Oreochromis niloticus: one gene and its partner. The protein of the gene in region 1 purifies or fractionates together with the protein of each later gene. This does not show direct contact. Links are inferred from orthologs where the notes say so. Each region holds a gene or a part of one and is shown in the gene's direction. Other genes may lie near its edges.

The links. The genes of interacting proteins can lie anywhere in the genome.
Region 2: the proteins of rpa2 (region 1) and atr purify together in Homo sapiens (affinity purification with western blotting; 3 studies listed by BioGRID, with this or other methods). This does not show direct contact. The link is inferred for Oreochromis niloticus from reciprocal best matches to the Homo sapiens genes RPA2 and ATR.

What each region holds. Positions count from the first base shown.
Region 1 is NC_031976.2:26,300,166-26,308,427, reverse strand, and holds the start of rpa2 (replication protein A 32 kDa subunit), read left to right. Parts: upstream 1-5,047; 5' UTR 5,048-5,194; coding exon 5,195-5,207; intron 5,208-5,406; coding exon 5,407-5,501; intron 5,502-5,727; coding exon 5,728-5,829; intron 5,830-6,179; coding exon 6,180-6,293; intron 6,294-7,306; coding exon 7,307-7,381; intron 7,382-8,227; coding exon 8,228-8,262. Other genes in the region: mecr (enoyl-[acyl-carrier-protein] reductase, mitochondrial), read left to right, coding at 1-53, 142-305; smpdl3b (acid sphingomyelinase-like phosphodiesterase 3b), read right to left, coding at 1,345-1,707, 2,063-2,196, 2,343-2,523, 2,689-2,858, 2,985-3,128, 3,237-3,334, 3,511-3,727, 3,807-3,894. UniProt on the Homo sapiens protein: As part of the heterotrimeric replication protein A complex (RPA/RP-A), binds and stabilizes single-stranded DNA intermediates that form during DNA replication or upon DNA stress.
Region 2 is NC_031983.2:20,161,023-20,168,494, reverse strand, and holds the start of atr (serine/threonine-protein kinase ATR), read left to right. Parts: upstream 1-4,360; 5' UTR 4,361-4,525; coding exon 4,526-4,578; intron 4,579-4,728; coding exon 4,729-4,820; intron 4,821-6,598; coding exon 6,599-6,751; intron 6,752-6,869; coding exon 6,870-7,472. Other genes in the region: pls1 (plastin-1), read left to right, coding at 533-675, 756-851, 1,025-1,220, 1,476-1,554, 1,974-2,088, 2,196-2,329, 2,461-2,584, 2,663-2,796 and 1 more. UniProt on the Homo sapiens protein: Serine/threonine protein kinase which activates checkpoint signaling upon genotoxic stresses such as ionizing radiation (IR), ultraviolet light (UV), or DNA replication stalling, thereby acting as a DNA damage sensor.

The sequences.
Region 1 (8,262 bases):
TGTGAAGGTTCGAGGATTTTGGGTAACACAGTGGAAGAGAGTTCACTCTCATGGTACGTAGGCATGGAGTTTCTGATTGTATGAAATTAATCTAAAAAAGATAAACATTTCCCTAATTTACAGGGATATTGTTTTTCCTAGATGGAAGGGCATTTAGAGCCATGCTGGATGAACTGTGCTCCCTCATCAAGCAGGGAAAGCTGACAGCTCCCGCCTGCACTGAGGTGGGTCTGCAGCAGTATCACGCAGCTCTGGATGCTGCTATGCAGCCTTTCTCATCAACTAAACAGGTTTTGGTCATGTGAACTAGCTGATACTATCAACTAACCACCGGATATTCAAGAACACTGCATGTATATTTGGGTGAAACCCGAGAGCTGTCACATTCTTGCTGATATGTCAAAGAAATCCACATTCTCAATAAAAGTGTCTTCACATAAGACTCAAAGTTCAGCGTCCGTCATGTTCTGTAGTGACACTTTACAGTGTTTACAGGCAGCTGTCAAAAGATTATGAAGTCATTATAAGAAGATATGAAATGCCAGGAGTTATCACAGAACACAGATAATACAACTTTATCTTGTAATTTTTTTAAAACTGATTGCTTTGCTTTGAAGTTGCATGGACAATGGAAGTAATGTTAAGACATTTGTTATGAAATCCTGATATAATCAATTTTTTCAGCTAATGTGCATGAAATTCATAAGATTGAGTTTTGGATTCATAACAAGCTACAGTAGAGTTTACACAAATAAAACGATGGTAGCTGGCCTTTAGAGGCACAAGAATACTGTGTAGTTTTGAAACAAAGTATTCAGCCAGTACCCATAAATCAAGGTCAAGGGGCACACCAAAGATTACTGAAGACAAAGGTTGCATTTTTCCATAGTTTAATTATACACTGGAGCATGACTCATTTCATTTATAGATGTAATATAACTGAAAGTATGAAAATGCATTATTATAGTGCTACATGTTAAATAGTGACATTTAAAACAAATACCTGCTACTTGATGTTTCTCTGGATTTATCATTTAAACAATGAAATTCATTACAAATGTTGAGACCAGAAAGCTATTCTCAGATTCCTCTGCTAAAAGTGTGCAGTTTTTAAGGTGGAACGTCATACAGCTGCTGATGAAGCCAGTCGGAAAGTCAGAGGGGGAGTTTGCATTGCTCAGTGGGTCAGTGATACATGTGTGAACATGACTTTTATACTTTTGAAACAAAAGATTATTGCATAATTTTAAATTCTGAGGGAGAAAGCTTATATGTTGGTGTAGGGAAACAATGAACCTATACTAAGTTCAGAGTTAGTTATAGTTCAAAGTAGTATTGAATTAATTACTCACTGGCCACCACCAGACTTAAAGCCACGGAGATGAGTGGCAACAGGCCACCATAGATGAAAACTGCCCCCTCTTTAACGAGGCAGTGTTCATACCTGTCAAAGTCTACCTCTCGTGCTGCGCACACGTGGTCAACGCGGCAGTCGCTGTCACAATCCCTCAGGTCATAGTTCACAGAGTTGAAATCATAGTACTTCTGCAGGTAGCGGGGGTCATCAGCTACACGCTTCAGAACCTCGTGCATGGAGGCTGGAGAGGCATCTGGTACTCTGAAACTCTCTGTGAGGCGATACTCTTTCTCCCAGCGTCCTGTGGCTACATTAGCATGAGTAAGGTTCAGGTAATAGGTCACCACATCCTGCGTGAGAGAAAGCATATGGTTTAAACACAGAAAGCAGAACATTAGAAGCATTACAAGATATTTCTGAAGGTTTTATAATTTTTTAAAATACAAATATATATTTATATAAGTTGCGTAAGAGCCTAATAATACTATTGCTACTTTTGACTGCCCCGTTGCCACGAGGAGCGTTTCACGTTTGATTTAGCAGTTGATGATTTGAGTTTTACACCGGATGGTCTTTCTGGAGCTAGAGTAAAAGGGGATTTTTGTATCTGGGTGATAATGAACTAGCAACCGTTCCCTTGTGTTAACCACTACACCACTAGAGGAACATAAATGTCTAATGAAAATTGTAAAGGCCAAAACTTGCCTTGACTACCAGTGTTTCTGTGTCATATTCAAAGACACGAATCCCAGGATTGTTCGCTCCATCCTTAACTCCAGGAAGTGTTGTTTCCCACGGTGTGACACCAGGGCTGAGGAACATGGTACTAATGGGAGAACCTGTAGAAACGGACAAGATATCAGCTCTATCAGTATTAGTGTGTGTTAATGTTAACGCTGGATATTGGAGACGCATTCCAGCTAAGTGATAAACAGGTAATACAAATACAAGGTGAAATGAGTACTATTACTGCAGTGTGGCTTACCCTCTGTGTTGTAGAACATACGGAAGCTATCAGTGTGATGATGGCCAAAGAACTGCCCTTTTATTACAGAATGATGCTTCTCAATTAAATCCAAATATCGCCGGTTGAACTTTGGTGTAAACCATGGCTTACTTCTTTTCTTCTCGAAGAAACCTGGAGGAACGTGGCCAATGATGTAAACCTGATAAACCAAACAATACAGAGTTAACTAAAATCCAATCAGGACCAAGTCTCTTTTTTGGAGGGGCAATTGCTTATACAGGATTGTATTCATTACAAACTACATCTTTTATTGAGCTCTAGTCCCTAACATCCAAACATCCATGAACAAGATGAGATGCTTTGCCTTCTCTTTGTTGTTGGCCGCCTCTGTAAGAATCTGATCTGACCAACTAAACTGGTCCGCTGGGTCATCCATGTTCTTGGTCAGCTTGTTCTGATCATAGTAGAGATTGGTGTTAAGGACCAGCATCCTGAAACCAGTCTGATTCATGAGCTTTTCTGTGTAGTATCCACCTGTGCAAGAGGAACATTGCAGAAAATGTCTGTTCAAAATTTTCCTGTGCATCATAAACTGATGTATTCATTCTTTGGAAAGTCATTACACATATATTTGTAACTATTAGAGAAAGCCATCTTCACCTTTTTTAAATGTTTCTTTTGACTTTGGATCCAACCAGCCCTGCCACATTTCTGCTATTCGGTCATACATGGAGTTTGGGGCTGCAGGAAGCTGACTCTTTGGGTGGTAATCATGGTTCCCCAGGGCTGAGTACACTTTAGTGTCTAAACAAGACAATAATGTATAAAAGACATTATTTATTAGAAGTAGCCAACACTTATACACTGTCGTATGCGTTGACCTTGCATGTTTCCACCCGATTTTGTACTTACTTGGAAAAACTTGATTTATGATGTCAGTGAGGTTGCCGATAATGCTGAGCACTGCCTCTTCTCCCAGATCTTTATCATCAACATGTGGAGTGTCATCACTGAGAAGTAACACAGCAGATTGTTTCAGGATTAATTGCAGTCAAACATTATGTCGATACCAAATACCAATCTGAAAATATCATGACTGTAAAGGCAGACAAGCATTTCTTTCCCCAGATATAGTCTTGAGACTAGCACTGTCCTGCAAAATTCATTTAAAAAAAAAGTAACATACCCAGTCCATACGATGAAGTCCGGGTTTGGTAGAATATTCTTCATTGCATAAACAGAAGAGTTGATCAGGTGCCATGGCGAGTCACAAACATAGTGTCCAAATTTACCAGCATTGGCTGCAGGTCGTTTGCCACTGGATGCGCACACCAGTGCAGGATTGTTGTTGCTCAGTTCGTACGTTGGGTCCCAGTGGAGATCCGTGATGTGCCAAAAGTTCCCTGTGTAAGAACGATGCGTAATAGCACCTAGTAAGTTACCCCGAGATTAAGATATATACTTGATTTATCTGGTGCTTACCTGAGAGCGCAAAAGCCTCTTTAAAAAGAAAGCAAGACAGAAGCAGCCTTACTGCCGACATGTCGAAGCCTTTGAGAGGAAGAAACATCCGACAAAAATCAAGACCTGATTTAAAAGGTATGCCGTAAGTCTATAAAGGCGAAATCACGATAAGATACGGCTGGTCATGACGCGTCTGAGGCTTGAAGGTGTTTGGATCCCTATGTGCAGGTGATACTTCGCTATCAGTAATGAAGTTCAACCGTCACCCTGTGATGCAAGACTACGTTTTAGCCTGCATACAATAAAATAAAATAAAATAAATAAAAATAAGTTTCAGAATAAATTTAAAGACAATAAAAAGCTTCAGCTGAGAAAACCTCTATACACACATCTGTGAAGCTATTTAGGAGTCGAATTCCTGCTTGTAGACTACGCCTAGACTATTTTTATGTGGACTAAATTTAAATTTAGTAGACCTTCTTTTACCTTATTTGGGCATGCGCTGTTTAAGAATCCAATAAATATACATACATTCATAGCACAAATAGGAGTATATATAGACACATTATATTAAAACACATCTACGTGCGAATGTTTTCGCGGTTACAGTGTAATATTTCACTAAATACAAAAAGGATTTTATGCATGGTGCCCTCGCGTGATACTCGTATTCCCCAAAATCGACACTGTTATAACTGTGGAGAATCTGTTTCTCAAGCTGATGATGCAAATAAAAAATTGTTTGCTTTGTTTTGCTTTTGTGATTATTATTATTTGTTTCGCTTATTTCTTTTTACAGTAAAGGGGCATTTGGGGGAAAAGCGTAGTTAATCATCGTTGGAACTTTTGCAATGTCTGTCTGTTTTTGATAAACACAGCTATGCGTTTGCAAATGTTCTTTGGAAATGATTTTTGCAAAGCCTCAAAACCGCGCGTGAGCACGTAGTTCTTCGGGAAGTTCATGAAAGCAAACCTAGGACTCTTTCAAAATCATTCCCTGATGTTTCTCTTTCAGGCAGACGTAACTCCCAGGCTACGGACTGCTTCATTAAGTAATATAGCAAATAATGATAATAATAGTAATAATAATAATAATACTAATGTTAGCACATGTTAAACAGTGGTTTGGGTCCAGAGTTTGTGCTTTTGCATTGGTCAGTCTTGGCGCTAGAAGGGGAACGATAGCCTGACAAGCAAAACTTAGGGCTGAATTACTTCATCTTTAAGCTCTGCGTCATCATAGATTTCGCGGGAGTTCCGCTGTGCGCCTGCGCTGTACATTGAAGCTTGCGCGCGGGATTAAACGAGGAAGAGGATCACAGAAATACGTTTGGCTACAGATATTACTGCACGGTGTAAATAACATTTTACGCCTTACTTTAATAAGTTATACAAACAGCGGAAGCATGTGGAATCAGGGTGAGTTGTATTTCGATACCGTTGTGTTTATAAATAGCCATATGGGCTCGGTGACGCTGTGTTGTTTCGGTCCACGTTAGCTTGACTACAGACGTCTTTGTTATTGTGTGTTGAATGTGAGTGTAGGTGGGTCAAATGAAGATCATATCGAATAAACGATTTCACTGACACAGTTGTTTACCTCTTTATACATTTTCAGGAGGGTACAGTGAATCCAGTATGGCTGGGGGCTACACTCAGTCTCCAGGAGGATTTGCATCACCTGCCTTATCCCAGGGGGGAGAGAAAAAGGGGGTCTGTACTTATATCTAAACTTAAAAGTCGGTATAATTCACTAAAGACTTGACACAGACATAAATCTGTAAATATAGTGCTGAAAACCAGCAACAACATACCTTCATTTGCCAAATGACATATCCCCTCTTTGTACACATGTTGACTTCTGTGATAGAAGCACAAATTGACAGGTCTCTGCTGCACGACAGTTAACCCATTTGTGTTTGGGTGTATATCTTTGCAGAGAACACGTGCCAACCAAATAATCCCCTGCACAGTGTCTCAGCTAATGTCTGCTTCCCAAGCCGATGAGTCATTCAGAGTAGGAGATGTGGATGTTGCCCAGGTGAGCCAAACCATTCAGTTAGTTCTCTAACCAGTTACTTTTTCAGCACTTAAAATCATTAGTTTGTTACTCTGTAATACAGTTTTTTTTTTTTTACTTCTGCAGTTGAACAACAGCAACTTTCCACTCCCTTTTGAGTACAAGTTACTTTTGTTTACAGAAATTATGTAAATGTGCATATATGTCGATTGTACTTTTTTGTCCTTTTAAATGTTTAAAATAAACATCTATCTAACAGTCAGACCAAATGCAGAATTTTAAATCATTTTATGTTACAACATTTTGCAGCATGGACGTAATAACTATTCTAATATTTCCAGATTTGATAATAATTGTGGTCTGTGTCATAGGTCACCATTGTGGGGGTCATCAGAAGCACAGATAAATCCATGACCAACATCCAGTACAAGGTTGATGACATGACAGGTGCTCCCATGGATGTGAAGCAGTGGGTAGACACAGAGGTAAGTATCCACCATCACAACTCTGCTGCAAGCTCAGTCTGTATTGAAACATGAGGTAATTAAATCAAATCAAATCACTTTTATTGTCACATCACATGTGCAGGTACACTGGTACAGTACATGCAAGTGAAATTCTTGTGTGCAAGCTTCACAAGCAACAGAGGTGTGCAAAAATACAATAACATAAGAACAAGCAAAATATAAGAATGGGTAAATCTGAGAATTAAATGAATAAATATATGTACAATATAAGAGTGTATGCGCATTGCTGAATGTGTATACTAAATATGTATATCTAGGTGTGTGTGTGTGTGTGTGTGTGTGTATTTATATATATACATATTTTTAAAAATTAAATAGAATAAACAATAAAATAAAATATACAGAGGTTGGCAGTTGGAAATGTGCAAAACAAGTGGCATTTATATACAGTATGGAGTGCATAATGTTGAAGCTCTGGTAAGTGAAGGTGAGGTGTCTATGAAGTGTTCAGCAGTCTGATGGCCTGATGGAAAAAGCTGTCTCTCAGTCTGCTGGTACGGGACCAGATACTGCAGAACCTCCTTCCTGATGGAAGTAGTCTGAACAGTTTATGGCTGGGGTGACTGGAGTCCTTGATGATCCTCCCCGCTTTCCTCAGGCACCGCTTCCTGTAGATGTCCTGGAGGGAGGGAAGCTCACCTCCAATTATCCGTTCAGAACACCGCACTACTCTCTGGAGAGCTTTGCGGTTGTAAGCGGTGCTGTTGCCATACCAGGTGGTGATGCATCCAGTGAGGATGCTCCCAATGGCACAGCGACAACAGACAATATGTATAAAATGTATAAAAACTCTATTACATAGTGAGAAAACTACTAAACTATAATATCTGTTTAGTATTGCATTTCTCTGAGTAGATGGCTAAAAGGAAAGGGCAGTAGTACCTCAATGCCAATCTCCTGTTCTAAAATCTTAAGGAAAATTAGCTGGAATTGTATGAAAAGGATCAAGTATGTGCTTTTTATTTATACAGGACCAAAGTGTGGACAGCACTGTCCTTCCCCCAGGAACTTATGTCAAAGTGTCTGGAAATCTGCGCTCTTTTCAGGTGAGTTTAATATTTGCCACCTATGACCGCTTATTAGTTTAAAAGTGTGGTTGCTATCAGGCCCCAGCCCATTCCGTCCACCGTCCACTCCATCCACCGTCTACTACAGGGGTGTCCAACTCCAGGCCTCAGGATGTGTCCTCCAGAGAGGACATATCCTGCAGGTTTTAGATGTGTCCTTGATCCTACACAGCTGATTTAAATGGTTAAATTGCCTCCTCAGCATGTCTTGAAGTTCTCCAGAGGCCTGGTAATGAAATAAATCCTTTGATTCAGGTGTGTTGACCAAGGGTCATATCTAAAACCTGCAGGACACCGGCACTTGAGGCCCTGCTCTACCAGCTTACTTGGTGGTTGGGTTGATGTTGTGGCGTTTTTCAAAGTCAATCAGCTGCTTCCCGCAGTCAGACTGATTCCTCCCCCCCCTCAACCACAAACAGACTGTGAATCAATTGGAAATGGTTAATTTAAAGTAAATGCTAATGACATTTCCACAGTACCCAGAATCAAATAGGAACTTATGACTTGCATCATGATTTCATCGAAAGGCTACATGACAGTGTAAAATTTTTAAGCGGCTGTGTGATTTCTCAATCATACAAACATTTTTGACAATCTCATATTTAATTTTGTTCACATTTAAACATTTATTAACCTTTTTTTGTGTGTGTGTGACATGTATCTAACATGTGTCTAAATTACACTGGGGCTCCACTAAAGGTTTTTATACCGTTACCAAGATAGATTTGTTTCGTCACTTGAAATACTTGAAGTGCATTGTTGCTTGCTTTAGTTCCTCTCTGAATTCATGATGGCGTGTCTATTTTTTGTGCTTTCCTTTCTTAGAACCACAGGTCTGTTGTGGCATTCAGCGTCAGGCC
Region 2 (7,472 bases), on another chromosome or scaffold:
AAATATGTTACAAATCTTTGAATTTTTTTTTGCTTTTTTCGTAACAAATTAGCTCATTCCTTTGCATGTCTTCTTTACTTTGACCAGCATAACCACAACTGTATTACTTTTAATTGAGAGTGTCTTGCTGCTTCTAGGTAAAAATGCAGTTTTTGATTAAATGGTAAATGGCCTGTATTTGTATAGCACTTTACTTAGTCCCTAAGGACCCCAAAGCACTTTACACATTCAGTCATCCACCCATTCACACACTGGTGATGGCAAGCTACATTGTAGCCACAGCCGCCCTGGGGTGCACTGACAGAGGCAAGGCTGCCAGACACTGGCGCCACCGGGCCCTCTGACCACCACCAGTAGGCAACAGGTGAAGTGTCTTGCCCAAGGACACAACAATCGAGACTGTCGGAGCCGGGGCTCGAACCGGCAACCTTCCGATTACAAGACGAGCTGCCAACTCTTGAGCCCCGATCGCCCCGATTAATTTCCTCTTTCTTGCTTTAACAGTTGATTAACTGCTGTTATGTGTTTTTAGGTTTGATTGCCCTTCTAGAAGATGGAGAATCACTGGAGCACCTAATGTCTCTCCCCCCTGACGAGTTGCTGCTCCGCTGGGTCAACTATCATCTACGCAACGCAGGAACGGAAACAATCAGCAACTTCAGCGAAGACATCAAGGTACCGTGCAGAACAAATACACATACATGTGAATACACAGTGTCATGAGTGTAACCCCATCTTGTACTCTCCCACCGAAGGACTCACGGGCCTACTTCCACCTGATGGATCAGATCACTTCCTGTGAGGAGGATGAATTCCAAATGAAGATAAAAATTGACATGAGCGGCCTCAATGTGAGCCAAAAAATGTTCACATAACAGTGAGAAACTAATAAATGAAGCTAAATGTAAAGATCAACACTTCTTTCTGTCATTTTAACCAGTTTTCTTCAAATTCTGATATGATTATATCCACATAGTGTCTGTTCTTCTATGCATACATGTCTGTGTGTGTGTTTGTTGTGAAGGAGTGGGATTTGGAGAAAAGGGCTGAGCTGATGCTGCAGCAGGCAGCCAAACTGGACTGCAGGCAGTTTGTTACTGCTCGTGATGTCACATCTGGAAACAGCAAACTGAACATGGCCTTCGTGGCCAACCTGTTCAACATGCACCCCGGTCTGCAGAAGTTTCTGATGAACGGAGGCAATTTAGAGCACATAGAGAGTGAGATATATTCACCACTACATCTTGGCCTTACAATTACACGACAGAATCATAAAATGCTGAACTGTACAGTACACAGAGGCATATTAGCCATAAAATCAGCATGCAGAAAACAGACGTAATGCTATGCTAGTTATACGTGCCATAGACCAATAAAAAGCCAGAGATGATAATAGGTTCTTGAGTGTTTGACGTCTAGACTATAGATGAAGTCAGCTGTATGATAACATGTATGATGTCTTCATATAATTCCAGAGGAGACCAGAGAAGAAAAAACATTTCGCAACTGGATGAACTCTCTGGGTGTTTCTCCACATGTGCACCATCTTTACCAGTATGTCATCAGTTATACATAATCATGTTGACCATATCAGTTATTTAGGGTGAATGGACCTGTAAATCAAGGTTCAGCTTCATTTAATGATTAGCATGAGTGTCCTCATATAACATTCTACTGAAGACTCCACAAGAGTAAGATATGGGCTTAGCTTTAATCTTAAATTTTAATGCTTTCCTCATGCAGACAGCATTGAAAATATAGTTTGAAAATAATAAATCCCTTATCTAATTATAAGTGTTATTATTATTATTTATTAGCTTTAAAGCACAGTAAAACATGAGCTCCCTCTAAGACTGCTAAAACTCCATAATTCAATAAAAATAGAGAGGACATGCTCTAAGTGTTCTCAGTGGTGGTCATTTTTTCTTCTTCTTCTATTGAAATCAATTATCTGTGTCATTGTTTTTTTCCAGTGACCTGTGTGACGGCTTGGTGATTCTGCAGCTTTATGATAAGGTCAATGTGCCTGTGGACTGGAAGAAAGTCAACCGCCCTCCTTATCCTGCGCTGGGGGCCAATATGAAGAAGGTACTACATGCTAACAAGCAGAGCACAGTGATGATGACAGGAAACGCACAGCAGTGGGAAATATGAGAGATGCAATGTTGTTTTTTGTTTTTTTCCCTGTATCCCAGCTGGAAAACTGTAACTATGCTGTGGACCTGGGCAGGAATGTTGCCCGCTTCTCCCTGGTTGGAATTGGAGGAGTAAATCTAAACGAGGGGAGTCGTGTACACACCTTAGGGCTGGTCTGGCAGCTGATGAGGAGGTATGTGCACGCAGAGCTGCAGGATGTTTTGCTTGCTATAGTACATTGTTTGGTGAAAACAGACAGTCCGTGGTTTGGCGCTGCTGCTCATTGTATAGTTTCAGTTACCTTTACTTCTTACAATCCTCCAGGTACACAGTTCAGGTTTTGTCCGATTTGGGTGATGGAGAGAGGGTGGTAGATCAAATCATCCTGGACTGGGTCAACAAGATGCTGAGCCAGAATGGAAAGGACACACAAATCAGCAGCTTCAAGGTGTGTATCTTTGTTTGTGAAATGGTTTGATATCAAAAGACTGTGTGCTTTAAACCCCTTTTTGCCTGTTTTTTGCAGGACAAGCTGATCAGCACCAGCCTGCCAGTGATTGACCTGATCGATGTAATCGCTCCGGGAATGGTCAAGTTCCACGTGGTAGCAAGAGGAGAAAATGGAGTGCTGAAGAAAGATGATAAAATCAACAATGCCAAGTAAGAAATAAACTTTTTTAAACTCCCAACCACTTTGGATTTTTCGCTCTTTTATAATTTCCTTACTCCTCTCTCCTTCTGTGCTGCTGCCAGGTATGCAATCTCATTGGCTCGTAAGATTGGCGCTCGTGTCTACGCTCTGCCTGACGATTTGGTGGAGGTCAATCCCAAGATGGTGATGACTGTGTTTGCCTGCCTCATGGGGCATGGTATGAAGAAAGCCAAACCCTGAAGTGGGTACAAACAACACTGAATGAAGATGAAAAAATATATTTGTATTTTACTTTTAAAAAATTATTTTTATTCCTTTACTTTGAGTTTTAACCTCGCCGTGCGTACAAAACAAAAACAGTCTAGCATTGTCTATTATTCGTTTGCAAGAAAAAAAAGCTGTATATCATTTTCCATCAATAAAGATAATTCTTTCTTTTATACGTGATTTTATGGAATATTGTTCTTTGCTTTATTATACTTAACCCATTCTATTTACTTCTTCTGCAATATGAGCCAGAGATCCAGCAGAAGAAAAAGCAGAATTATACACACATCTGTTCTATCAAATACATTTTATGTCTGTAAATGTTGTTCATTAAATATTGCTATTTAATTAATAAAGAGAATCTGTTAAATGTACGAAATACCTGTGAATGTTTTGTGTATCAAAATACAAATTCCTTCTGGACTTCAGAAGTAAAGAGCAAATTGGTTATAACATGTATATTAGTTCAGAAGTGCATGAAATATAATTGAATCAAAAGCCATCAAAAGCAAAAATCTGGATTTTCTACATAGCTTCTAAAAATGGGCATAACTGAAAACTTTAAGGTTAAAAATACTTGAAAGATGGGAGGTGACAATAATCTGACATTACTTGATATTTATCTATTTATTTTTTACCAATTTTCTAATATGTTTCAGTCTCCCCTTTAGATAAGGGGAAGCATCTTATACATCTTGTTTCAAAAAGCTGCATGGTGAATAAAGGAACAGAAACACTTGTGTTTCTCTTGTTATTGTAGGTTCTTTACCTTGCAATATAAAGTGTTTTGATGTGACTTTTGTTGTGACTTGTACTATATAAATACCATTTAACTGATTTAAGAAATTCTACTGTAATTTTAAATTTAGCAACTTAATTAAGACATACATTAAACTCTAATCACAAAATACAACATTGCCTCATGAATAGTAAAGTAACACAGTTGTAGGCAGGCATACACAGTTTCACAAATATTTACATTATATATCTTGTATTATACCCTCTTTTTACACATTATTTACTACTGCAATTGCACTACTCCTTTGCACAGTCTCAGTTAGATTTTTTTATTTCACCTTTTTACTTCTCCTTTGAAAAAAAAAATCACTGTTGTGTATATTTTTACCCTGCCTACATTGTAAGACATTTACTATGGGCCTGTGGTACTTTTACTATTAACAATTAAAAAAAATTTTTTTTTTTTACATATTTTTTCCTGCCGTAAAAGACATACTTTAACGTTACTTTAACGACCAGAGGAAGCTCTTACTAGTTTGCTTTTTGTTTGAGCTTATAGACCCTCGCTGGCTTCCGTATCAAAACAGAAACGTCATTTTGGAGCGAAAGTTTTGGAAAGACTTGACAGGCAGAAGGAGACGTGGAGATGTGTACTGGTTAAAAATGATTAGATAGAGCCATATATTAATGTATTAAAGAGTTTTATCGAACAGGGACATACAAAGTTTAAAAATGGAAGGTCTGGAAATGTCTGCGATGATACCGGCTCTTCAGGAGCTAGCTAGGTGAGTACACGGCTAAAGTTGGCTAAGAGCTAAGTAGTTAACAGTACCAGTCATTTGGGCTAAAGTGAGTCCTCGTCTTTACTTATTGAAGTCGATAAAAACCGTTGCTTCATCATGTCTCTGTGAATAACATCGTGCTGATGTTTGCAGTGCGAGCGCTGCAGAGTACGACCAGGTGGTACAGAAACCTCGACAGATTCTCTGCCAGTTCATCGACAGGATACTGACAGATGTGGATGTCGGTAAGGCGGTGTTATCGACACTTACTTGGGGTGGTCACCATAATAAAAGCCTCTGAAAGGACATCAGTAAAAAACAAACAAACAGCTTTTTGGTGTACACTGTCAGACTTATCTGCTGACACATTCCCTTAAGTTGTTGCTTACAATGACTGCTATTTCCCCTTGCTAATATACTGTGCTGATTTCTTTTTCTTTCTTTTTTTGTATATTTGTCACACTTGCATGTTTCAGATCATCAGACAAATTTTAAAAATAGAGATAGCCTGAGTAAATGTAACATGCAGGTTATGAATTCCTGAAAAACTCCTGTAAAATAATAATACTGATAATACTACTACTACTACTACTACTACTAATAATAATAATAATAATAATAATAATAATAATTATTATTATTATTATAAAAATAGGAAAAAAACTATCCAAACCTTTGTGAAAAAGTAACTGCCCCCTAAACCTAATAACTGGTTGTGCCAACCTTAACAGGAAGAACTGCAGTCAAGTGATGGTGATAAGTTGCAACAAGTCTTTCACATAAGATCAGCCATATTGGAAGTTTTTCAAGCATGAGCGGTCTGTTTAAGGTCATGCCAAAGCATTTAAATTAGATTTAAGCCTGGACTTTGACTAGGCCGCTGCAGAACTTTCATTTTGATCTTTATGGGGTTTTTTTTAAGCACTTAAGACTTCCTGGTGGGTGTGGGATCACTGAACATTATTCTTGGTTCTTTTGTGACTTAATGGATGAGTTGTTGATGCACTCTCTGAGCAATTTTGATAGGCTGTCTACTCCTGGGAATGTTTTCCACTGTTAAAATCCGTGGATCACTGGAGTCTCAAAGCCTTAGAAATGGTTTTGTAACCCTTTCCAGACAGTTCTTTTAACCTACTTCACCTCAGATAGGTTCTATTTAAGGCATTTCTTGATTCAACAAGCCTGGCAGTAATCACGTCTGGGTGTTACTTGTGAAATTAAATTGAGCTTTCAACCAATGTGGTAAATCACAATTAATTCATGATTTAAAAAGGGAGGAATTACTGTTTCAGTCAGGGCCAGGTAGGTTTCGGTAGCTTTTCTTTCTCTTATTTAATGAAATCAAAATTTAAGAACTACACTTTGAATTTAATCAGGTTATCTTTGTCTAATATTAAAATGTGTTTGATGATATGAAATATGAAAATGTCACAAAAAAGTAAGCAGGTTTAAACCCTAACAAGCTCATGTGTGCACATCAGACATGCTTCCTTTATTCCTTAAATTCCTTTATCTTTACCTTTATTACATTTAGTACGCAGAGTTTGTTATAAACCATATTAGTTTTTGTCTTCCCCCCACTTGCATGAATCTTGCCCCTTACTCTACACCTGCACCTGTAACTTCCCCTTTGCAATATGAAGGTGATATAACAGCAGTTCACATTGCTGGCAGGTGTTTGTTCGGCAAACAGAAACCCAGTCTGTGTTAGGAGTTCCAAAACACAAAGAGGGCACATCGGGTGTGACTACAGATAGGAAAAGTACAACTAATATAAACCTGTGTCTGCTTCTGTCTTCTTGCTGCTGTTGTATAAATTTATGATCTCCAGTAGTTTACTTGGTAATTAACTCTTGGCTTCTCAGATTCTTTTGAATAAATATTGTACCTGGAGTTTAAATCAGTGTCTTTCTTTAAGCTTTTTATCATTTAGTGACTTTTCAAGTTAATATTGCAAGAATATTTGACTTATCCTCTGTATGTGTACCAGCTCTTTGAACAAAACGGTTGTCTTTTCTTCCAGTTGCTTTAGGGCTAAATAAGAAGTCCAGCTCAGAGCCAGCCTGTGTGATGCTGCTGGACTTCGTGCAGCACATAGTTAAATCTTCATCTCTGATGTTTGCCAACCCTGCCTGTCAGCCTGCTGAATACCCAGACACCACACAGAGCTGCACTGGTAGGAAATTCTTCTCAAAATGCTGCCATAAGTGATTTCAGAAATTAGAAAAAAAATGAACATGTTTTCCTCTTTCCTTTCTCCTTTAATATCTTCTCATTCCTTGTCTTGATTTTAGACTTCAGTAAGTGGGTGGCGGTGCGTTTCCTTCGTGTGGCAGCAGCTCCAGGCTGTGATATCATCCATGGACGGGTCTCTGCTGTGTTGTGCTCTTTACTTCACACTCTGAGAGTCCGGGCACCATTTATCTTTAATTGCCTCATTCAGGAACTCATATTTCTGTGCCAGGAACTCAGCCATAACCTGTATGCACATATTTGCACACTTGGAGGACAGGGACATGTTTTGGAGATTCACACAAAGAGCCAGTGGCCTGTAAACCTCAAGTGCTTCAGTTTATCCCCCCTCTGTGCCTCCTCATACCTCACCCCCTCTGCCCTTGTGCTCTCCTCACCTGCTGCCTTGGAGTCGCTGACTGCCATAACGATCGACATCATAACTGAGTCTCTGCGGGGAGTCATCTCCCGTCGTGACCTGAGTTTAGCCTGGGAGGCTGCATGCTTCATCCTGGCCAACGGGAACACCAGGCTGAGGAAGGCCTCCATGGTGATGCTGAGAACACTGGTGGAGCTCAGAGGATTTCCTGAGATGCAGGGCCACGAATTCTTTGCAGCCTACTTCCAGTTGCTGGAAACACACTCCTGCTCTGCCACAGCAAACA